Linked DNA regions of Lytechinus pictus. The protein of the gene in region 1 purifies or fractionates together with the protein of each later gene. This does not show direct contact. Links are inferred from orthologs where the notes say so. Each region holds a gene or a part of one and is shown on either strand. Other genes may lie near its edges.

Region 1 (11,191 bases):
CATAACGAAATACAAAAGAAATAGTGAGTGGATGACATCATCAGTCTTCTCATTTGCATACCGACCAGGATGTGCATATAACTGTTTTGTGAAATTAAGCGAAACTTTAAAATGTCATAACTTTCTTATTTTACATCCGATTTTGATGAAATGTTCAGTGTTATGCTTGTTAGATTTTTCTGTTTTTATTCAAATCAAGGTTTTGTTAGGGTGGACTTGTCCTTTAAAGTTGAGACAAATTGAATCCAAATTTTAAATCGGTAGGATCCATATTAAAGCCACTTGAAAATTCAGTGAGTGTTCAATGGGTTTCAATTGGAATTTTGTGATTGGGCACAATTTAGCAGCTCTAGCACACATTAACTGTTGAATGTGCAATATGCTATGTCTAATGAAGGGCAGAGGCTGTCGGATGGTGGTGGGACTACATGTAGGCCGCTAAACATGGCGGTACATTTGAAGATTTTATGAAATATTGAGGTAACAGGTGAAAATAATTATAAACATTGCAATTAAAATATATTCGATAATTGATGAAAATTTCGAGCAGGTTACTCTATTATAAAGAGGAGACCTATTAAAGGACAAGTCCACCCCAACAAAAAGTTGATTTGAAAAAAAAGGAGAAAATCCAACAAGCAAAACTCTGAAAATTTCATAAAAATCGGATGTAAAATAAGAAAGTTATGGCAGACTGATGACGTCACCCACTCACTATTTCTTTTGTATTTTATTATATGAAATATTCTAATTTTCTCCTCCTTGTCAAGTGAAACGAAGTTTCATTTCTCCCTGAACATGTTTGAACCATTTTAGCCATTGTTTTAACAGTTTATGGTTAAGTTAAGTTGGTCCTTCTTGTCAAATCTGTAAAAATTGAAATATTGTATTATTCAAACAATAAAAAACAAAAGAAATAGTGAGTGATGGACATAATCGACTCTCTCATTTGCATATCACTGATTTGTGCATTTAACTGTTTTGTGAAAAATAAGCGAAACTTAAAGATAAATTCCAGTTTTGGTAACGATCTAAAAATGACTTTTTACAGAATCTAATATAATGACCACCTAAGTGTCTGTTTGTATGAATAAAAAATATGTGCCAAAGGATTCTGGAAGAAATTGTGTAATTGCTGAGAAATAAGCAAAATAAGCGCGGATTCGGTCACTTCCGTCGGGTCTTTATTTTAGCAATAATAATACACTGTCCCACGTGTGCCTATCTGTGTTGGTGATCTTCAGTGTGAACATTTTTCAGCGTAGATTTCAAGATTTCACAAAGTTCAGTTTATGTAACTGTACCAGATCTAGATCCTCGATGATATACTGACAATTAAGCCTTGTTTTACAGACTTTCTCATGAAATCAGTGTTTACTGCAAATACTGGAATTTCTCTTTAAAATGTCATAACTTTCTTATTTTACATCCGATTTCGATGAAATTTGCAGCGTTATGTTTGTTTGATTTTTCTCTATCGATTCAAATCAACAATTTTCTGGGGTGGACTTGACCTTTAAAGATGCTCATATTCAAACATCTAACGTTGACCACTTTATCAAACTGTCAAGGGGGGGGGGGCATTTTTTACTTGCCGTACGGCCGCCATAGAGGAAATGTGACTGCAGCATTAGGTATTTTTGATTGATTATTAAGCCCTAAATAATAATGAGAGAGAGCCAGCTGTGACATGTGTACTTAAGGGAAAGAACATTGATTTAATATCAGTGTGTAAACACAAGCTGATGCTGTGGCAATAGGGATGTGTTTAAACCTAGATCCTGTTCAGTGACAAGCAGTGTACATGTACGTACATGTATATGTACATGTAGGTACGTTTTAAAGATTGATTTTTAAAATAAAAATACAGGACGATGATATAAGCAATGTTCAGACAAGTGCCCTACTGCCCTGCATACATAATTGTATGCTACAGCTGATGCTGTATAATTAGCAGAAAGACGTGTTCAGACCAGTGTTATTTTTTAGTGAAAATGATATTGATTTGAATATAATGTGTAAGCAACAGCTGATAATATAGGTACAGGTAGGTGTTCAGACCAGTCCTGTGTAACGAGTGTAAAAGATGTTTCTGTTCAGATCAGTGCTGTAATATGTTGATTAAATTATAATAAAAATAGCTGCTGCTGATATACCATTACATGTTCAGACCAACCCATAATTTCTCTTCCTTGAGGGAGGTTCACATTATACAAGCTATGCTTTTGAGTGAATCTCCCATTTCCACAGATACCATTTTTGCTATTTAGATTATATATTATAATTTGTCTACAAAATGCACCATATTTTATATATTGTATGTTAATTATCATTGATGTTTTTGGATATAATTCTAATGACAATGATTTGTATCGTAAATATTTGTTATAAATGTATGAAAATGATTTGTATCAATATTTATGTCATTTCTGTTGGAAATAAATCTGAAATTTCTTTTTTATTCCAATGCGTAAACACTGGCCAGTATACATGTATGAGGACCATGTTTTCTTCGACCCAATCAAACTACAAATGTCACTATCAGTTGTAATTTTTAAAGGAAAATGTGTATATATAATTCTAACCAAAACTTTTAAATAATTTATGCATTCTATGAATAATTTTTTGTCTTATTTTGTTGAATCATCAATTGAAAATGAAAGAATAAACTTTCAAAGACTTTTATAGAAATGAATGAACTTTCCCTGAGAAATCAAATGCTCAGTCACTTACAACCTTGAATACATTAAAAGGAAGATTCCTATTTTTGAATGAATAATATTTTATATTTAAAACAAAATGATGGAGATAATACTGTAAAATAATAATAAGAGTTTTGAATAGGAAGTACGGGAGGGGGAAAAACACAGAAAGCACTTGAGAACTATTTTCCCCAGTGCTAGAATAATGAAGGCCATGATCAGTGCATGTATGAGGCTGTTCTCACTACGTTCCTAAAACTAGTTTACTGGAAACTAGTTTAGTGGAAACTAGTTTAACGCGTAGTGAGAACGGTCGAAGCGGTCTTGGAAGCGATCTTCCAAACCAGTTTGGAAAACCACCTCGCGATGTAGTTTTCAAGATTGCTTTGCCTCGTTAAACTGGTTTTTTTAATAGCGTAAGTGAGGACACAACCGTTCTTCGGGAAGCAATCTTCGCACATTTGGAGCACGCTACTCCACACGACAGGTGTAGAATGCCTACATGCATGCTGCGGTTTCGAATTTCGCGCGAAACTTGTCACCCCACTGAGAGCGTTTCCATAGCAACAACAGCGCTTTACGTGAAGTGATTTTGAAAACCACTTTCGTGTGATCAAGTGGGAACGCTAGCAAAGCGATCTTCCAAAGTGGTTTCCTGAATCGGTTTCAAGTAAACTAGTTTTAGAAAGCGTAATGAGAACGGCCTCTACAGTATGTCTGTCTACATGCAATCATTTGAATGCTATGTTGGAGAAAGACGTTAATATTGATTTTATCCTTTATATTGATTTTGACTCATCCTTTAGGTACAATGAATGATTTATTTTGACCTTTCACCCTGGAACATGGTGTATTTCTCTGGCTCATTGATGATCATTCTATTGTTGGCTCTGTTTCATGTCTGGATCCATTGATTCTTTTCTGTGTTTTTTTTGTTTATTTTTAAAATGATTTGATGGATTGAGTATCGGTACTTGTTCTGTGGAAGATGGAAGAGTGTTATGGGGAATTTGATCATATAGTTTTGTAGATTACATGTATGTCATGGGTTACCCGCGTGCCAATTTTTGTCGTGATCGCGTGATTGACGGCCGAGATCATAGGGGGCGGGGGCTAAATAAAAAAGGGATTATTTTCCCTCCATAGCCTACAAGGATAACTTATTCCATCAATGTTATCACAGCAATTAAAACGACTGGTTAATCTTTAAGAAAGAGTGTAATTTATACATTTATCTACAAATAATTGTGAAACTTTGCTATACTCCCAGCCCCTCTTCAAGTAACAGGGTTGTTTGATTTAAATCATGTCGATTTAAATCATGATTTAAATCGCGATTTAAATCAGTTGATTTTTTTTCAAAACAATCACTGATTAAAATCAACTTTTATGAAAATTTTTTTTCTCTATTGTATATATATATATGAAACAGATACTTTCAATGTAATCATTTTCATTTCTGTTCCACATGCTTTAGAGATACTTTAAAAGAATGATACACCCTCATGGAGTCTGATTTAACACCACTGTTTTATTTTCAAATTGTAAAACAAGCAAAACTGATGAAAACAACAAGTTTCTAACGAAGTAATGATAAATAACTCTCTGTATGTACACCAAAAAATTTAATCTTCAATAAAATAATATATAAAATCTACAAAGGTGGTCAAAGTCCACAACTTGGATACTTTTACAAAACAGCTGAACTACTTGTATGTACCTCCTTCTTGTTACTATTAATACCCATTCTTTCAATAATAAGTTGAAGGCATATGTGTACATTTGATAAGAATTACATGTATATTTGCATGCTTGTGTATTTTCTTATCAATACCCATACATTCAATTACACAATTTCAAAGTACACATGTATACTTAATAAGTAAGAATTTAAAAATGGGAAAGTTGCTTGGCAAGTGTTACTGTATGCAGCAATACAACTGCTGTGCTTGCTTGTTCATGTAATAGTTTGAAAAAAAAACAGCACATCAATGATGTGGTGGACAGTGGTGCTTATCCTGCATCTTGCAACGAAATTTATTGAAGTATTATTTGGAACTGAGGTTACACTGTAATGAAAACATAAAATGTGTATTTTGTTACAAGCATATCAGGAAGTGCCTATTGCAAATCTGGTTAAATATTACATTCAAATTAGATGTTAACGTACAGTTGTGACTTGCGAATGCTTTGTATACCAGATGTAGCTCTAGAGTTGCAAACCCTATTTCTGTGGAAACAAGTCTTATATGATAAAGCTTTACAATGACTTAAAGGCATTGGTTAACATTGTGTTCAGTTTTAAAAATCTGAGTTGCATGTTCTCACGTGTATGCTAACATGTCTATGGGAATATAGAAATGAAACAGAGCAAAAAATGCTTTAAAGTGTTATCATTTAGAGAAGCACTCCAAAAAAGTAAAAAAAATAAAAAATAACCTGTATATAATAAAGTGGATTATTGTGTCAAATAGTACAATACACAATGTTCAAAAGACTACTTGACCACTATTATTGGTGTAAAACAGTTTAAATATAGTTTAAAACTTGTTAAGTGTGACCATTATTTTTCGTTGGAAAAAAAAAAAAAAAATCTGATTTAAATCATAAAAATCCGATTTAAATAAAAAAAAAATCTGATTTTTTTTTATTTAAAAAAAAAAAAAAAAAAAAATCAACAACCCTGAGTAAAATGCATCCATGCACTGTATAGTTGAAAAGAAGCCAGAAACTTTACTGATAAAGACTGTACATTTTCTTTGATTCTAGATTTCAATTTCCCCCATGTAATCCACAGATTCAAAGAAAAAAATAAGGTCACTGGTAACTTTGTACATCCAACATACATGTACAAATCACATTTGTAGATTTTTTTGTCAATGCATGTGCCCTACCCATTTTTATAAATCACCCAAATTGAGATTCTCACTTAAAGATTTTAATTCCATGTGTAAACTGTCTAAACATTTTTGATTATCATCTCTCGACCTCTTCTCGTACAATTAGCTCATTACATGGATGAACTGTTGAAACTGATTTAATCATCATCTCTCAACCTCTATGACACTGTCTGAACACAATCACCTTTCCACAGGTGCTTTAGACATATTGACACATGTACATGTATGTAAATGTAACCAGCAGGGAGTTGGGAGTTTATTCTGAACTACACTGTTGGAATGAAGACAAATGAAGATGATTAAAATTAATCATCACTTGCGTGTATGTACATAAATCTATAATTGCCAGCTGTCTGAACACTCCCTGTAAACATGATCTGCTGCACCATGAGTAAACCGTCTAAACACACTGCCCTCGGGAGGCTTGTCTTGCAGACTGTGCACACATTAACATCAAGCCTCCTTCTTGAATTATAGGGATTCTATCTTTTTATCGTAGAGGAGACCGTGTTTGACGGTCAAAATATGGGATGTTTGTGCAATATGGTTAGGAATGGACAATGAAAAAGGTCAGTCGAATAAGGATTTTTGTAAAAATTTTATCTCAGTTTGTTTTATGTGGTCTCAATATTTATGTTTAGCAGCCTGAAGAAGCTACCTTGTCTGTGATGAGAATTAAGAAATTTCATCTTCACCTGATCTCATTTTGTTAAGGATTGATATATTTTCTTTGATTTTGATGGATTTCATATGTATACATGTAGTTATCATTATTGTTTTTTTATGATTGTTTGCTTTTGCCTTTTCTCCCTTATTGAACAAGTTTTGTTCTTGAATCGATAAAATGCATCCATACTCATCCATCCATCCATCCATATTGTTGGATCACCTGTTGTTTCATCCTTAGGGAGGTTTAATGTCACATGTCGTGTGATGCATGGGATTCGATGCCAGATAGGAAATTCATACTGGGTAATTATATGACACGGTCGTCAACTTTTATTGAATGAATATTACATGTAGGCTCCATAGTGTACAGGGGCCTACAGTGCATTCATGCTACATAATAAATGTCACACGAGGCATGACATTAAGTATGCCAACATTTAATTGTGTGCATGAAGTTCCTTTTCGTCAGAATATCAGATGACATAAGAACTTGCAGTGGTGTGATGAGCCAAAAGTTTTGAGGGGGCTAGATATGACGTATCGCACCAAATTTATAAAAAGTTGGGAGCGAGCAAAGCAAGCTAGCAAAAATTTTAATATTTTGATTGCAAAAATTAAATTTTGTGATATTCAGAAAATATCACATTTCATCCTTCTCTTTTTTTCTTTTCTTTCCTTTTCTCTTTGTTTTCTTGATCATGAAAAAAATTGGGGAGAGGGGCAAGAGCCCCTCCCCCCCCCCATCTGTATGCCACTGATAACTCTGTGAATACATGGTACACAACACATGCAAAAAGGGTTTTAGTCTTTTTTTTGTAATTAAGATTAATAATGAACAATGATCTGTGGCATAGATTTCAGAGCTATCGAGCAATTCCATATATTATCAACCTTAATTTTGTATGTTGGACTCCCATTTTTTTTAGTCTTTCTTCACTTTATAAACTGCCCAAGTCATGGTCCTTTGAGAAATTACAGACTATCAAAAGAACAAAAAATCAGAGACAGAAAACTTCATGAAGGTCCCATTGGGGGTCGGATGTACATATTATCTGGAATTGCCCTGTTTGTATTTTGATTTGATTTGTTCTTTTTATTAAATTTTTTTATTTTTTTTCAGGGGGGGGGGGGGTAGGTGCATTGTAGGAGTGAGATTCAGTGACATTTCAAATTTCAAATACAAAGACAAAATTAAATTTAAACTGAGTCTTCAGTCATCTATGATCAGACTAATTGGTGTATTGTACAGCAGTAGTGTATTTTTGAGGAAACATCAATATTGATTTTTACATTATAAGAATATTAAAGTAAAAGGCAAAGCGCCTTTTTATTGTGATTCCTTGAATTCAGCATTAGCAAGTCATCTGCAAATCTGCAACCTTTGAGAGCAAAAACACAATTACCCCCACTGCCAGGAAAATCCAAATTAAATGAGAAATATGCCAGTAATATTTACATACTGTAGCCTATGTATTCACTTTCACTTTCAGTGTATTTTTCTATTATTTATTTTTAGTATTGTACAGTAATATAATACCCTGTGACAATAGGGTGTCTACATACATGTATATATCTACGGAGGCATTAGTTATAAATAGCGTTTAGTCATTTTGGCTTACATTGATGATCTCCCTCCCTTGCCCGTTTCATGTAGAATTTTTTTTTTGGAGGTACAATGTAATATTAGTTACTATTACCCTGTGGTGATGGGGTTTTCTATCCATGTGGAGGCGTTAGTCATAAATAGCTAACAATGATTTTCCTCTCTCCCTCTTCCAGTCTGTTTCTTTGCCCCCAGGAAGCGAGAAATTAACCAACATTTCTAGTCATCACAAATCCTTGCTAGAAATAGACCCAGTCACGGCCCGAATAGTATACAGACAATGATTGTAGCATCAATCACCCATGATTGTTCCTGATACTTTCTATTTCTAGTGCCTCCTCCTCTTCATTAGTTTACAAGAGCTTGTTTTCAGCACCTTCATATTTTACTTGGGTCTGGAATTATTATCTTTCTAGATGACAGCTTGGCCAGCGTTATGCATTGTTTGTATAATTGCTGTGCACTCTTTCCTGCTTTTGATCAAAGACACTGTGTTTAATGTCAGACTAACACTGTTTCCAGATGTTGTTTTTGGATTGTGTTAAATTCGAAGAAGATCTTATAAACGTTCTTAAATAATAAACTGTAGCAATGGAGCCTACATTTAGTGAGTATCTGTTGTTATTTTGACATCATGCCTATGTTTGTTTGTTGGGGTTGGGGTGGGGGGTTATTGCAACATTATGTAGTGCTTTGGTTTTTTTTGGGGAAAAATAGGTAGGTGATTTCTATATATTGTTTGTATATTTTAAAGTACTTACTTTATTGTAATGTACATGTACATGAAATTAACAATTGTTTTGCAGTATTTTTTTCAGCCTGAAGACCTTTAAAAAAAAAATCAAATTACATGTATACTTATTTTTAAGGCAAACTTGATGTCTTTTTGTCCAGACGTATAGAATAGAATCACATCTATAAAACATTATCCATGATAATTTCTTCTGTGCTTGTTTGTGAAGAAGAAAGTGCTTACAACGCTTGCTATGTATTATGCGGAATTAGTTTTGAGAGGGTTTTTTCTCTGTATCAATTGTTCAAATCACTGCCGCAGCACTAATGAGGTGTTGTAGCTCAGTGGATAACTCTCCAGACTTTGAACAAGAAGGTCCGGGGTTCGATTTCAATGCAGCACTCCCGTCCTTTGGCAAGGTGTTTGCCACTCTCCACCCAGGTGTATTAATGGGTGCCTATTAGGGAGAAATTCCTTGAATGCTTGAATGTGAAGTAGTGTTACTTGTTATTGGGGATAGACCAGGGCCCCGTCTTACAAAGAGTTGCAATTGATCCGATCAATCGCAACTATGGAAAGCCAGCAAAGTCAACATATAAAATGCATGTTTGTTCAAAAAAAAATTATAGATATGAATGTATATCCATAAATTCATTGATATCTTGACAATTTGGTATGATCTCCTTTGTTTACAAAGGACATTTTGCAAATTTCCTGTAGAAAAAATTATGACACTGATGGATTTCCATAGAGTTACGATTGATTGGATCAATCGTAACTCTTTGTAAGACGGGGCCCAGTTTTACCTGCTTATTCACACACTCTTATTCCTCCAATAATTCTTTCCCGTAGGACATTCCCCTTGCCTCTTCTCTTTTATCCTCTTTACTTTGTTCACTGCCTTCAAGTCCCTTCTTCCGTACATTCTGCATTTTTCACTTTCATATCTTGTCTTCGATCTGGATCCTCTGGCCCGTATTCTGAAGTCGGGTTTAAAGTTGTGGTTTAAGTATGGACAGCCAATTGTTACATAAATCACTAACGGTAGAGATATCATATTCAGCTCATACGGCTCCCAAATAATAATAATAATAATAATAATAACATTTGTAGGGCGCTTTATACTGGTGTTTCAAAGCGCACAGGTTGGCAGATTATAATAGTATACAGTCAATCGGTCAAAAAAAAAAAAAAAAAAAAAAAAAAAAAAAAAAAAAAAAAAAAAAAAAAGTTAAGTTATGAGAAAAGGTGAGCTTTAAGTGACGATTTGAAAATTTCTACGGAGGGAGCATTTTGGATATGAATTGGGAGTTTATTCCAGAGGGTGGGAGCAATTACAGAAAATGCACGATCACCATATCGGGTCTTAGTGCGAGGGCCATGAATTAAATTATTGGAATATGATGAACGTAAGGATCTGACAGATGAGGAAGAACGAAGGGAAATAAGGTCTTGGAGATATTTGGGTGACATATTATGGGTAATTTTGTATACAATGAGTAGAATTTTGAACGTTATGCGAGAGTGAACCGGAAGCCAATGAAGTGATCGGAGAATAGGGGTGATGTGTTCGTGTTTCTTGCTCAAGGTTACCATTCTCGCTGCAGTGTTGAGGATTCGCTGGAGGGGAGAGATGGAAGAAATTGGGAGGCCGGCAAAGAGGGAGTTGCAATAGTCTAGATGGGATGAGACGAAGGCATGAATGAGTTTTTCAGTAGAGGCTTGGTCGAGTAGTCGCCTGACCTTACCAATCCTAAATAAACCCCATGATGCTGATTTGCAGATGTTCCTGATATGTGGCTGGAGGGTAAGGTGCTTGTCTAAAGTGACACCAAGGTCTTTGACAGAGTCAGACATCTTAAGTATGCCCTCTCCCATATTGAAGTCTGGCAGAGGCTCCGTAGCTCTAAATTGCGAAGAAAGATGTACCAGTTCTGATTTGGCTTCGTTGAGACGGAGTCTGTTCTTCGCTGACCAGACCTTGATGTCCTTGAGGCAGTCACTCAGTAGATTAACAGCATATGTCTTCTGGTCGGATGCCATGGATACGTAGATTTGCGTGTCATCTGCATACATGGCATAACTCACACCCCGATGGCTAGTGATAATTTTTGCAAGAGGACCAGTGTACAGAAGAAATAGGAGAGGGCCCACAACAGAACCTTGGGGGACTCCGCAGCTCAAAGCGAAAGGTGCTGAGAAAGTTCCATTGATAATCACCCGCTGAGTACGATCTTGCAGGTATGACTCAATCCAATTTTGAGCCGTTCCGGTAATGGAGTAGTCATGTGCAAGACGCTGGAGCAACACTGAGTGGTCTAAAGTGTCAAACGCCGCAGAATAGTCCAGTAGAAGGAGTGCAGCTTCGTTACCCTTGTCGACGGTAAGCAGTAGATCGTTGAGTACTTTCAAGAGAGCCGTTTCTGTTGAATGAAAGTTGCGATATGCTGACTGCTTCTCAGGAAGTAAATGATGACTGTCCACATAGCACATGAGCTGGGATGCGACGATTCTCTCCAAAACCTTGCTAACAAATGGCAGGTTGGCGATAGGGCGATAATTGCCAAAGTCATTCGGATCAAGA
Region 2 (11,559 bases), on another chromosome or scaffold:
TCGAAGTGTTCCATGTACCTTGTTCTTACTCGGTCTTTGTGTCAGCAAAAATGTTTGGTCGTTTTCCATACATTCCTCCTATTTCAGAAATTCCAGGGGTGCTGCCTATGGAAAATAAATAATACATGCAGCACCCCCTAGGAAAATCTTGGGGGAGTGCTTCAGCAGCACCCCCTTTTTCCCAGCCTGAGGGCCTTGTCGCGCGACTGGGACTCCTGCCGATGACTCTTAATTTATTTCTTTTCTTTTAAGTTTTCTATAGGTTAAATGTGATTAGTTAAGCAAAATAAGAACCCATAAAAACCTAGATCTCTTCCCAATCACCGATTTTGGATTTACATACTGCACCAACAAATATTAATCGTTTTCGTTATCGATTTTTGAACAGGTTACTTCATATGTAAGGAGGCGGTTATTGCGCTTGGATGCAAACTAACATTACCAGACCCCATATTTAGTAAAACATTTTACATTATCAACGATATTATTAATACCCAGGACCAAAATCCAGTTGAAACCAATTAGAGCAAAACCAATTGAAACCAGTTGGCCAACTGGTTTCAATAGGGAAATTGGAACAACTGGAACCAATTGAAACCAGTTGCCAACTGGTTCCAGTTAAAACCAATTGGGCAACTGGAACCAGTTGGCAATTGGTTTCAATTGGTTCCAGTTGAAAACAATTAAGCAACCAGTTGGCAACTGGTTTCAATTGGTTCCAGTTGTTCCAATTTCCCTATTAAAACCAGTTGAAACCAATTGGAGGCAACTGGTTTCAACTGGAACCAATTGAAACTAATTGGTTTCCTACTGGATCCAATTGGAACTTCCAGTTGGAATGACTTAATTAGTTACAAATTAATTAGATTTTGCAAAACCTATTGCTCATGCCAACAAAGAAGCAGTGCTAGATGTCTATAATACCAATGTAAAGGGCATTGATAAATAAACTCTCATAATGTATATATTTTTACATGAAAGATCTTCAAATATATGTATTTGTATTTGATGTAATTTGGTAACAGTTAGTGGTGTACTAATTATCTTAAAATCTGTTTTAATTATAATCTATACCATTTATGAACATGGTTTTCACTGCTAAGCATTCTAAACACTTATCTGAAACAAGTATGGTACTTGAAATAGAAAAGAATTAAATAGATACATTTTAAATGATGATGAATCACATAAAACATTAATCTGTGCACACTGGCAGATAATATGCAAATTAACTGGTTTCAATTGGAACCAGTTGGGTAACTGGAAAATTTCCAATTGGAAACCAATTGGAAGTCATTTCCAGTTACCCAACTGGATCCAGTTAGGATTTCCAGTTACCAACTGGTTCCAGTTAGGATTTCCAGTTACCCAACTGGTTCCAGTTAGGATTTCCAGTTACCCAACTGGTTCCAGACTTTAGAAATCATTTCCAGTTGGAAGTAATTTCCAGTTACCCAACTGGTTCCAGTTAGGATTTCCAGTTACCCAACTGGTTCCAGTTAGACATCATTTCCAGTTGGAAGTCATTTCCAGTTACCCAACTGGTTCCAGTTAGGATTTCCAGTTACCCAACTGGTTCCAGTTAGAAATCATTTCCAGTTGGAAGTCATTTCCAGTTACCCAACTGGTTCCAGTTAGGATTTCCAGTTGCCCAACGGGTTCCAGTTAGGATTTCCAGTTGCCCAACTGGTTTCAATTGGTTTCAACTGGAAATTGTTATATTCCAGTTAAAACCAATTGAAACCAGTTGAAACCAATTGAAACCAATTGAAACCAGTTGGAAATCCAACTGGTTTCAATTGGATTTTGGTCCTGGGTAGTTTCTTAACTTATTCTGATGATCTCATTTGTGACATTGTTTTTTTTTTTTTTTTAACTCCCTCCGGCCCTCCAAGTCACTCACGGCTTTTTCAAGTTTACACTAGATTTAACTGGACTTAGAAATTACGCTTTCAGCGAATCAGTGACTGTATGGAATATATTAAAAAAATCATGAATTATAATGCTCTTCAAAATATTTGCCGGGGAAAAGCAAATTCTGTAATTCGGAACAACATGTGAGCCATAATATACTTGGCATCTTCATTCAACGCTTTTATCACATAGATACGATATCATATCACAGAGATACGATCTTACGTATACGTAAGCTCCCGAAGGGAGCTAGAGAGGGAACTCTTTCCGCGCGTTTTTATTTCCCATAGGTTTTGTACATAGCCAACATGGCTGCCGGCGGACAATTTGAAGGATGATTTTGGAGGGTCAATGTTTTATTCATGAGAATGACGTCAAAATACGCATAATGCACTTGTATGATTGGATTAAACGCTAATGTTTTATTCATGTACTCATGCATTAAACATTTTTTTCCGTCCCACAATTCCCTACGATATCTGTGCGAAGTGTCGTTCTTTTGGACTCTGCGAATTTGAAGTTTCTGAAACGAAATAGCTAGACTAATTATCTGTTTATATAATTGATGTTCGAAATCATGGTTTCTGAGTGAACTTCATTGGAGCGGAAAATCTTGGAGGGAACATCAATACTATTCTAATGACATTCCATAGGAATAAAAGTAAGTTACGCTCATTTTCATGTTTTGATCTCACTTGCAAATTGTAATGTGTTTGCCGGGGTTCGGGGCTCATCCTGTATTACGCACTACGGTATGTAAACCTCAATTTCAATATATTTCTTTTGCCTGACTTCCAAATAAGTGTGATCATTGAGTTTCTCAAAAATACTATATCTAGGACTAGGGGTCTATAGTTTGTCGTAGATCTAGACATTCATCGGAATGCTTCATGTAGGTCCAAAGTAAACATTTATTTTAGTTTTATTGTGATTAGACAATTATCAGGGGTAGATGTGGACTTGTTTCCGACCTCCTGTTTTTTAGTAACGACAAACTGTCGATTTTAGGCCTATTCAAATTTAGGTCAATGTAGGGATATGGTCAGAGCGGGATCCGGCCTTTGATATCGCCGGTGCTAGCCGAGCGAGATTGTCGATGTAGTCATGGGGTATGAAAATAGCGGGGACGGACTAGGCCCAAACTTCAAGCTTGAAAGTTGAAGTTTAGGCCTAGTCCGTCCCCTCTATTTCATCTTCATATGAATAAGTATAATTCTCAGCAGTTTCTTTTATTCAGGAACGCTTTACTTCAGAATAATCAGTGTTGAAATACGATTGACTTAGCATTAATGTCTGTTATGTTAAGTGTTACTTGTCTTAGTCTTAGATTTGAATGAAATGGCGTAGCCTACCCTAGACCTAAATCAAGTCTATTTGAACAGGATACCCTGGGTCCGGCCTGGGGTGGTAATTTGAAAACGTTCTTAGTGTTTACTTCATTCAAATGTGATGTTATTCTTAAGTTATACAGGCCCAGCATAGACCAGATTCAGCTATATACAGCTGTAGAAATATGTGGTTGGAATCATTTTACTTTTATAAACAGAGTGAGGTAGGCCTATGCCTCTATGTGATAGAGAATGAAGTTTCGGGTCCAGATAACTTTTTTGTTCTAGTTTGGAATATTCATTCATAGACCTGGGATATGGGCAGCTGGAAATTTCAAAAATATTGTTTAAGAAGGGTAATTTTATTATCTCTAAAACTCTCAAATTTAAATTGTCAATTGCAGATCCAGTGGGACCAAGTTCTTAGCAGTTCACACCTAGTCAGAAGTACAAAATTGAGAACCATGCCGATTAGCAAGTGTTAGTTACAATCTAATGAGGAACAGGATATCTGAATGGAAAAATTGCAAGGTATGCTTACTGTTTTGATAATATACAGGCTGTATCTAAGCTCATCACCCCCCCCCCCCCCAAAAAAAAATAAATAAATAAATAAATAAATAAATGAATATTTCCCCTTTTTTGGGAGGGGGTGGGCTATGGCCAATTGTGCTGAAACATGATGCGATATCATGTAATGTTAAAGTTCCATTGTGAGTTAATATTTGTTTGAATTCAGATTCACCAGTATTTCCATTTCTAACACTGCATACTAATTATCCATATCTCCTGTCTATACATGCATTTGCATAAAAAACCCAAGATATTAACAGTTATCACAAAATTCTGATAAATATTTGAATTAATTTTCACTCTTTATTTTCAAAACATACTGTAGATAGTTATATTGATATATGAATTTATCTGGATGTGGGACGAAAGTGACTGCATGTGCTAAACTTGTTTTATCACTGAAGATATAAAATAGAGTTTACATCTTTTTTTTACTAAACTGGACTAGATGAGTAAAAATAATTTACAGCTTATTATGTTCTTTTCTCTTTTTTACCATGCAGGTTTCCCACTTCCTAAGCTGTTTAAGTACTGGTATCACAACATAAGTGCCAAGAAGAGATATGAAACGGTCTCAAAATTTTTGCTGGTGCCCCCCCGATGCCGTGACCTACGGTACGCCACTGCAAGTCTTCATAAATTATTTAGTTGCATTTATTGTTATCTTCATTTTAAAAAAATGTGAAATGGGCTACCACTGCAATAATATATAAATAGACTATATTTTAAAAATAGATTGAATTCTAAGCACAGTGACAGTAGACAAATCAAATTTTGTTAATGATTCACTAATGTATTGATTGGGGAAGGCACTCTTTAGGATTCTGGCATTGTGTCCCACCCCCCCCCCCCCTTATGAGGAGTGCTCTCACATCAGAAGACTATTTCTTGTCAGCAAATTTGAAAGGAATTTACCAATTTTTTTGAGTGATAAACTTTTGTGGAAGAAAATAAACGAATATCAAAGGTTTTTATGCTCTTTTATGGAATATTAACTATAGGCTCATCGAGATCCTTTGAATGAAATTTTAACAAACATTGTACAATGTAGAAAAATGTACTTAATCCTATTTTTGTACATTTATATACCCACCCCATACTACCCTTACCCAGTAACAGCCCTTTTTAGCTATGCATTGCCTTCATTTTTTAAAATACAATTTAATGCTTGGTAGATGCTAATTATTATTTTTATGTTAATGTCAATGTTTTAGAAAATGGATCCCTTAATAAACATGTTAATTTTGAATTGAATTTTTTGATCTTGGTAATTTTCATTTATCAATTAATTGTGATGATGTATTGCTTCTGAGCTGTTATGCACAAATGGCACAAGATGTTGCACTGTACTGGAATGTGATGATGCCACTGTTACATGAGATCAAACAGCAGTCAATTAAAATATTATTTAAGAAAAATAAGGATAAGAGTGGGAAAGAAAGTAAAATGACAGGATAATTATTTGCTTGTATGCATATAGCTATGTCAGTTTCTGAGAGAGAGACATACAGAAAGAGAGAGAGATGGGGGGGGGGTGAAAGTTCAGTTTGTTTTGAAAGAAGCAATTATAAGACCTTACTGTTCGTAACGGGGGGGGGGGGGGGCTAATTATTTCTCCAAATTTTTGAAACCTGCATATAAAATGTATTTTTTCTTTCCAAATGAAAATTACACCAGATTCATTTTCAGTTGAAAATAAAAAAGAAATAGCCTACGATCGGTTTGCTCTCTTGCCTATTTAATTTTGAGAACCCCCTCCCCCCTAAAATATAGTATATACCTAGGTCATGATTATTGATGTTTGACATAGAAGTCGCCATTTAAAATTAAGTGCTCCGAGGACTGCTATTCATAATAGGACTTATATTGGAGACTACAATTATGGAAAAGAATTTGATTTGTTATTATCTTTGTTTATATTATGAAAAGAGGTTCATTTCGTTTTCTGCAATAAAAAGAAAAAAGGGCTCCAGAAACTTAAAGAGATTTCATCGTATATGGCAACATTTTCTTTGGGAACCTCCTCTGTAATATTTTTTAGCAAAGATCCTGGCCATTTGCAGCTAAAACAAAGCAAAGATGCAGTAATAATCGTAACAAGCAATAACAAATAGATCATTAAAATAGATGAATAATAAAACTCTGAGGAGGAAAAAAACGAATGATCTGACATGATGTAATCACTGACAGACACCATAAACGATATTAATCAGGTCGCGCATTATGCTAATTAGTGACAAAATACTAATTTACATATTTTTACGCTATGCGCGAAGGACGTTCCGTGACCACGCCTTCATTTCGCTGGTGTACCAAAACAGTGGCGGTGTCCATAGGCTTGTATACGAAAAATGGGAGCAGTGTGCACTTTTGACCCTCCAAAATTTTCTTCAATTCTGACCGGATGCAGAAGCGGAGTTTCACCCCCCTGTATCATATCTGGTATAGCGCCATCTTCAGCTTGAATCGGAAAAGTCCGAATTGAGAAAGAAAAATTATTCGACCATTTTTTGTTGGGACTATCTTGTAAACTGCAATGGCTTTAGCTCGTACATCTTTCCTAAAAGCTTGGCGACCAGTAATAGCAGTCAGGTTTGTATCTATTGTAGTTAACATGTAACGGTATTTGCAATTTTAACCAAGAATTAACCTCTCTGGCTATGTTTTCGTGCGTGTGTCCTGGATGATCATGATGTCGTCATGTTAATTGCTAAATCTAGTCCCATGTGCAGATATCTGAGTAATGTTTGGTTCTACTTATTTTCCGAAAAAAGTTTAACATTTCTCGAACAGAATGCCAGCATGTTGCATGTATTTGATTTTTTCAAACTTGGTGATTTGGAAGTCTATAAATAATAATGAGTAGCTAGAGCATCAAGGATGGCATATGATAGACAGCTGGCAGCTCCGCAGCTGTCTGTTTCAAGGAGTTTTTAACATTTTTATTTTTTTAATTCTCGTAGTCGTAGACGTACATGTAGTCGTACGTGTACAGTCACAGACTCTGACAGCTTGCAATCGTGCAACCGTCATCCGCCATGAGGGGGTTAACAATGCAAAATCCTACAGACCGGGCTTATCGATTTTTGTCTTTATTTCATAAAAATATATATAAAGAACTGGACCTAAATAAAGATTAGTATTTGGCCTATTCCGTTTTGGCCTTGAAAGTGAATTGCACCGAAACGGGAAAAAATAAACTTAATAAAAGAAAAAACAGTGACTTACTAAAAGAAAAAACAGTGACTTACTTTTGCTGTCCCCTAAATGAAATACGGGATGATCAACAAAGCACGATGCATGAGCGGATCGAAAAGAAGGCTACACAATGTTAGAAAATTTAAAAGAAAAGGTAGGGATATTGAAAGAAAGAATGAAGGAGAGAAAGAAAAGAGATGAATTGAGAGGGAAAAAAAATAAAAGGAAGAAAGTTAGACTGAAAGAAGGATGAAAGAAAGAATAAAAATGAGAGAAAAAAGGTTTCTGTCATTCTTCGAAATGAACAAAGAAAGAAAGAAAAAGAAAGGAAGGGAAGATGAGTGAAAGAAAAAATAAAGGAGAGAAAAGGAAAAAGTAAGTAAGAAAAAGGAATGAAGGAAAGAAAAAATGTTTCCTTCATTCTTTGAAAGAAAGAAAGAAAAACAGGAAGGAAGGAAAAGAAAGAAAGAATAGGGAAAAGAATTAGAAGGAAAAAATAAAATAAAGAATTAATTTAAAGGATTAAAAAGAGGGAAGAAAGAATGAAGGGAGGAGAGAATGAAAAAAGACAGAAAATAATGGAAGCAGAAAAAGAATGAAAAGAAGAGGAAGGGAGAAGGAAGGAAAAACAAATGTAAGGAAAGAAAGAATGAAAGAAATAAAAAAGGAAATTAGAAAAAAGGAAAGTAAGAGAAAGAAGGAAAGAAAGATAAATGAACAGAGGGATAGAAAGGATCAGGAAAGAAAGATTGAAAATAAAGATAGATGGAACAAAAAAGGCAAGCAGGAAGGATAGAAGGATGAAGAAAGAAGGATAGAAAAGAAAGAAAAAAAGAAAGGAAGGAAGGAAGGAAAAACCTTCAAACTTCAAGCAATCAAAAGATCTAATCATCTAACAAAAATCTTAATTATATTGGGTTTTTTAAATACATGTATATTTCAAACATTGTTAGAAAGCTAAAATGTTTTAGAAATGAATAAAATTTCAAATTAAACATTGTCAAACTTAAAAAATTAGATGAAACATCGCGGCATCACACACAGGCATCTCTCATTCAATTACAAGATCACAACAATACTCAAACGAAAGCTGAAACAACTAGATCTAGTTATGAAAACTCAACTTGCTCCTCCGATTACATCACTAAATATTAAAGTAATCTGAGAATCCATAATATAATTATAAAGATTTCCTGCTGATTTGTGATTATTTTGGTGGAAAAACTGTTTATCATGTGAGATTGTTTGCACCATTGAGAATCTGCTCCATTGATCGTACGCCTAGCTAGTAGCCTGCCACACAAAGGCAGGAGGCTACATGCAGACTTGTGTAGCAAGAAAATCACCGCAGAACATGCGAAAGTTTACAGTAATCAATTTTGTTGTCTCTGCTTAGTCATCTGTTGGTTATTTGCCAGTTATTTTATGAAAATTTTGTCACTTTCTATGTATTAATTATGTTTCGTTCAATATTCAGAAATACGGGACAAATAGGCGTCCCGGGAAGGGTTTATTGGGACGCCAGGACAAAGCAAAATACGGGACGATCCCGGGAAATAAGGGACGTCTGGCTGTCGCGCAACTCCCACTTCCTTGGTTTATCTGAACTTAATACATAAACATATGGCCATTGAGTCCCACTACAGTTCGAGTAGAACTTCGGTCTATGTAATTGGTGAGTGGAGCCAACAGAGTTCAGCGGAACAACCAATATAACAGAAGGCCGAAGATTTTGGTATAAGGATGACAATGCAATGACCCTTGAAAATAATTTTTTTTATTTTTAAACCAGAATTCAAAATCAGATCGTAGCCTGTATCGTTAGGCTACAGTAGGGACGTCTGCACCTGGAATTTCGACATGTGCCTCCAATCAACATGGCAAAGTTATTTCACAAGTTATGTATATACACGACACTATCACTCACCACTTGAAAGTTCTGCTTTCAACTCTAAAATCCCCTCTGACAAGTCAAAATTCATCATTAAAAATGTGGAATCTTAGCCATATTTCCAGAGCATGCGGCAGCTTAGTCAGGGTCACAGAAAACCGCACTAAGATTGAAGAAATCTGTTGTGTCATTCCGAGTTTGTGAATATTCTCGCAAATTTAAGATCGTATCTTCCAACAAGGCCGTCTTTCAACATGGGGTCTGAGCCTGATTTGGGAGCAAATGGCCGCTGCAACTTCATGTTGCATACTGTATGTGGTGAGGCGCATTGCACGGACGCTCTCACACATTGACTTTTGAACCCGCAATGTGCTATGCTGAACGAAGGGCAGGAGCTGTCAAATTGTGGCCACAAAACATGACAATACATATCCAGATCTCATTAAATATTAAGGTGTAAGGTGAAAATAAACATTGCAATTAAAATTTGACAAATTATATTCAACAAATATTGTTGCAAATTTCATTTATGAAAAGATGCTTTAGAACAAAAAATATTGCAGAAAAGCTTAACATGTTGAATTGTAGGCAGGTTACTCTAGATCTAGACCCTAGTTCTGTTTTCAAGTTCGTGATCAAATAAGGTGATTTAATTAATCAAAGACCCTCTAACTTTCAAGTATGTTGGGGGACTTATTACAGACTACCAGTTCTGCAAATATTAACATGATCAGGCATTCTGTGAGAAAACCACTTTTGAAGTAGGCTGTGAAGCTCACATGTATTGAGGATATTTATGTATTTCTTATTTGGCACAATTCCACTTAAAGATTAAATGCAAGCCTCAAGATCGGATTTAATTTGAAAACTAATTGCAGCTTAATGTAGAACAAAATAGGATTTGCAATAATCAGCTTGAAGTCACGATCTATGTTGAAATTACCCACAATTAAATGTGGATGTAAACTCTCTATTATTAAGGAATATTGAACACTTTCAGTTGAGGTGCTAGTCCAGAAACTGAGATTGGCCTTGTTTATGAGGACATTTTTTTTTCACTTCCCCTGCGGGACATAGACGGCAATTGCAGGGATTGAGAGTGCTAAAAATAGATCCATTCACCAACAAATCAGGTCCCCCCAGATCACCGTCTATTTTTTATGACTTGGACATCTTCCAATAATCTTGATAGGAAACCTCATGTGTTTATCTGACTAGCACACTCAAGTGATGTCGGCACTTGACAGGTGAATGAACTATTTGAAAGATTTCTTGTGTGGAGAAATCCTTGAATACTGGAGTGATCCTTATTTCTGACCAGCACCTCTACTATATTTATCATTTTTATGAACTTCAGATTGTCATGAATGACCTGACTGACAAGTTATTTAAAAATCAGCAATCCTTCAAATTTACTGACGACTAATACTGCAACACATGATCAGGCATTCTCTCTCAGGAAATCAATTTGCTGCAAAGCTCTTGTCTGTTGAATATGCTTCTTTGGGGCATTATACCTATTTTTGAATAATTTTAAAGTCAAATAATATATGGTTATGACTTCAATCAAATTTAGCTGAAAGCAGATCACAAATATAACTTTTAATCATTAGCTTAAAGTCACATGTTTTAGAATTGAAATGACAAATAATTGAAAAAAGTTGATGTGAACACACTTTAATGCTGTATGATTTAAGAAAATGTACCAGTTTATTGTTTTCTAGAATTTCAGCTGTATTTTCAAAGTCTCTTCCAACAATACAAGCTACTTATGATGTAATATCAGCCCGGAAGATATCAGTGTGCATCGTTATCTGGTGAATTTGAGAATGAAGAAATGGGTTGATATATTATTTAAAAATAGATGCCAAATAAGCTTTCTATTTTCTTTTCTATTTCAGTCAAGTCAGAATGTCAGGTGAATACGGATCTGGATCTGGAAGTGTAAGTAACACTATCAAATATTTTCAAGTCTCATTAATATAAGATTAGGAAAGTCCTTGACCATAAGTCTGCTGCTATGGTTATACACTCATTTGTACTATCTCGATTAGATGTTGGAAATGCTCTTCTTTTCAATGTAACCTCATGCAATGTCAAAAAACTTTAGTATGCTCAGAATATAGCTGCCAGGGTTTTAACTGGTACGTCAAATATCAACACATTTCACCAATTCTCCAAAAGTTACATTGGTTGCCAATCCGGAAGCATATAGAATTTAAAGTACTTCTTCTCACTTGGAAAGTGTTAAATGGTATGGCACCAAAATATCTACAAGACCTTGTCATGCCTTATACACCAGCTCGTAGCCTAAGATCATCACACCAGTAACTTCTTAAGACTCCCAAGACACGTGTAGCATATGGTGCGCGAGCTTTCTCTACCTCAGCACCTTCTCTCTGGTATAATTTGCCATTGAATTTAAGAATTATACCATCACTGGAGACCTTCAAATCTAAACTGAAGTCTTATCTTTTCTAACAGTATTAGTTATTGGCACGTTGACACTCATCCAAACTTTCTCATTCTTTCTTTTCTTGTGCGCATCGGAATAGAATATTTCTAGATAGATGGCACTATATAAATGCCTATTATTATGTTGCTATTTAGCCTTCAAAGTAGGATTTGTCTGTTTCAATTTTCTTGGTTTCTAAG

Evidence for each region.
Region 2: the proteins of myotubularin-related protein 9-like (region 1) and ATPase inhibitor A, mitochondrial-like purify together in Homo sapiens (affinity purification with mass spectrometry; 5 studies listed by BioGRID and IntAct, with this or other methods). This does not show direct contact. The link is inferred for Lytechinus pictus from reciprocal best matches to the Homo sapiens genes MTMR9 and ATP5IF1.

Annotation. Positions count from the first base shown.
Region 1 is NC_087253.1:7,994,590-8,005,780, forward strand, and holds the start of myotubularin-related protein 9-like, read left to right. Parts: upstream 1-6,140; 5' UTR 6,141-6,155; coding exon 6,156-6,171; intron 6,172-8,121; exon of another isoform or gene 8,122-8,465; coding exon of another isoform or gene 8,466-8,481; intron 8,482-11,191. UniProt on the Homo sapiens protein: Acts as an adapter for myotubularin-related phosphatases. Increases lipid phosphatase MTMR6 catalytic activity, specifically towards phosphatidylinositol 3,5-bisphosphate and MTMR6 binding affinity for phosphorylated phosphatidylinositols.
Region 2 is NC_087245.1:28,597,195-28,608,753, reverse strand, and holds the start of ATPase inhibitor A, mitochondrial-like, read left to right. Parts: upstream 1-6,272; 5' UTR 6,273-6,351; coding exon 6,352-6,407; intron 6,408-10,805; coding exon 10,806-10,848; intron 10,849-11,559.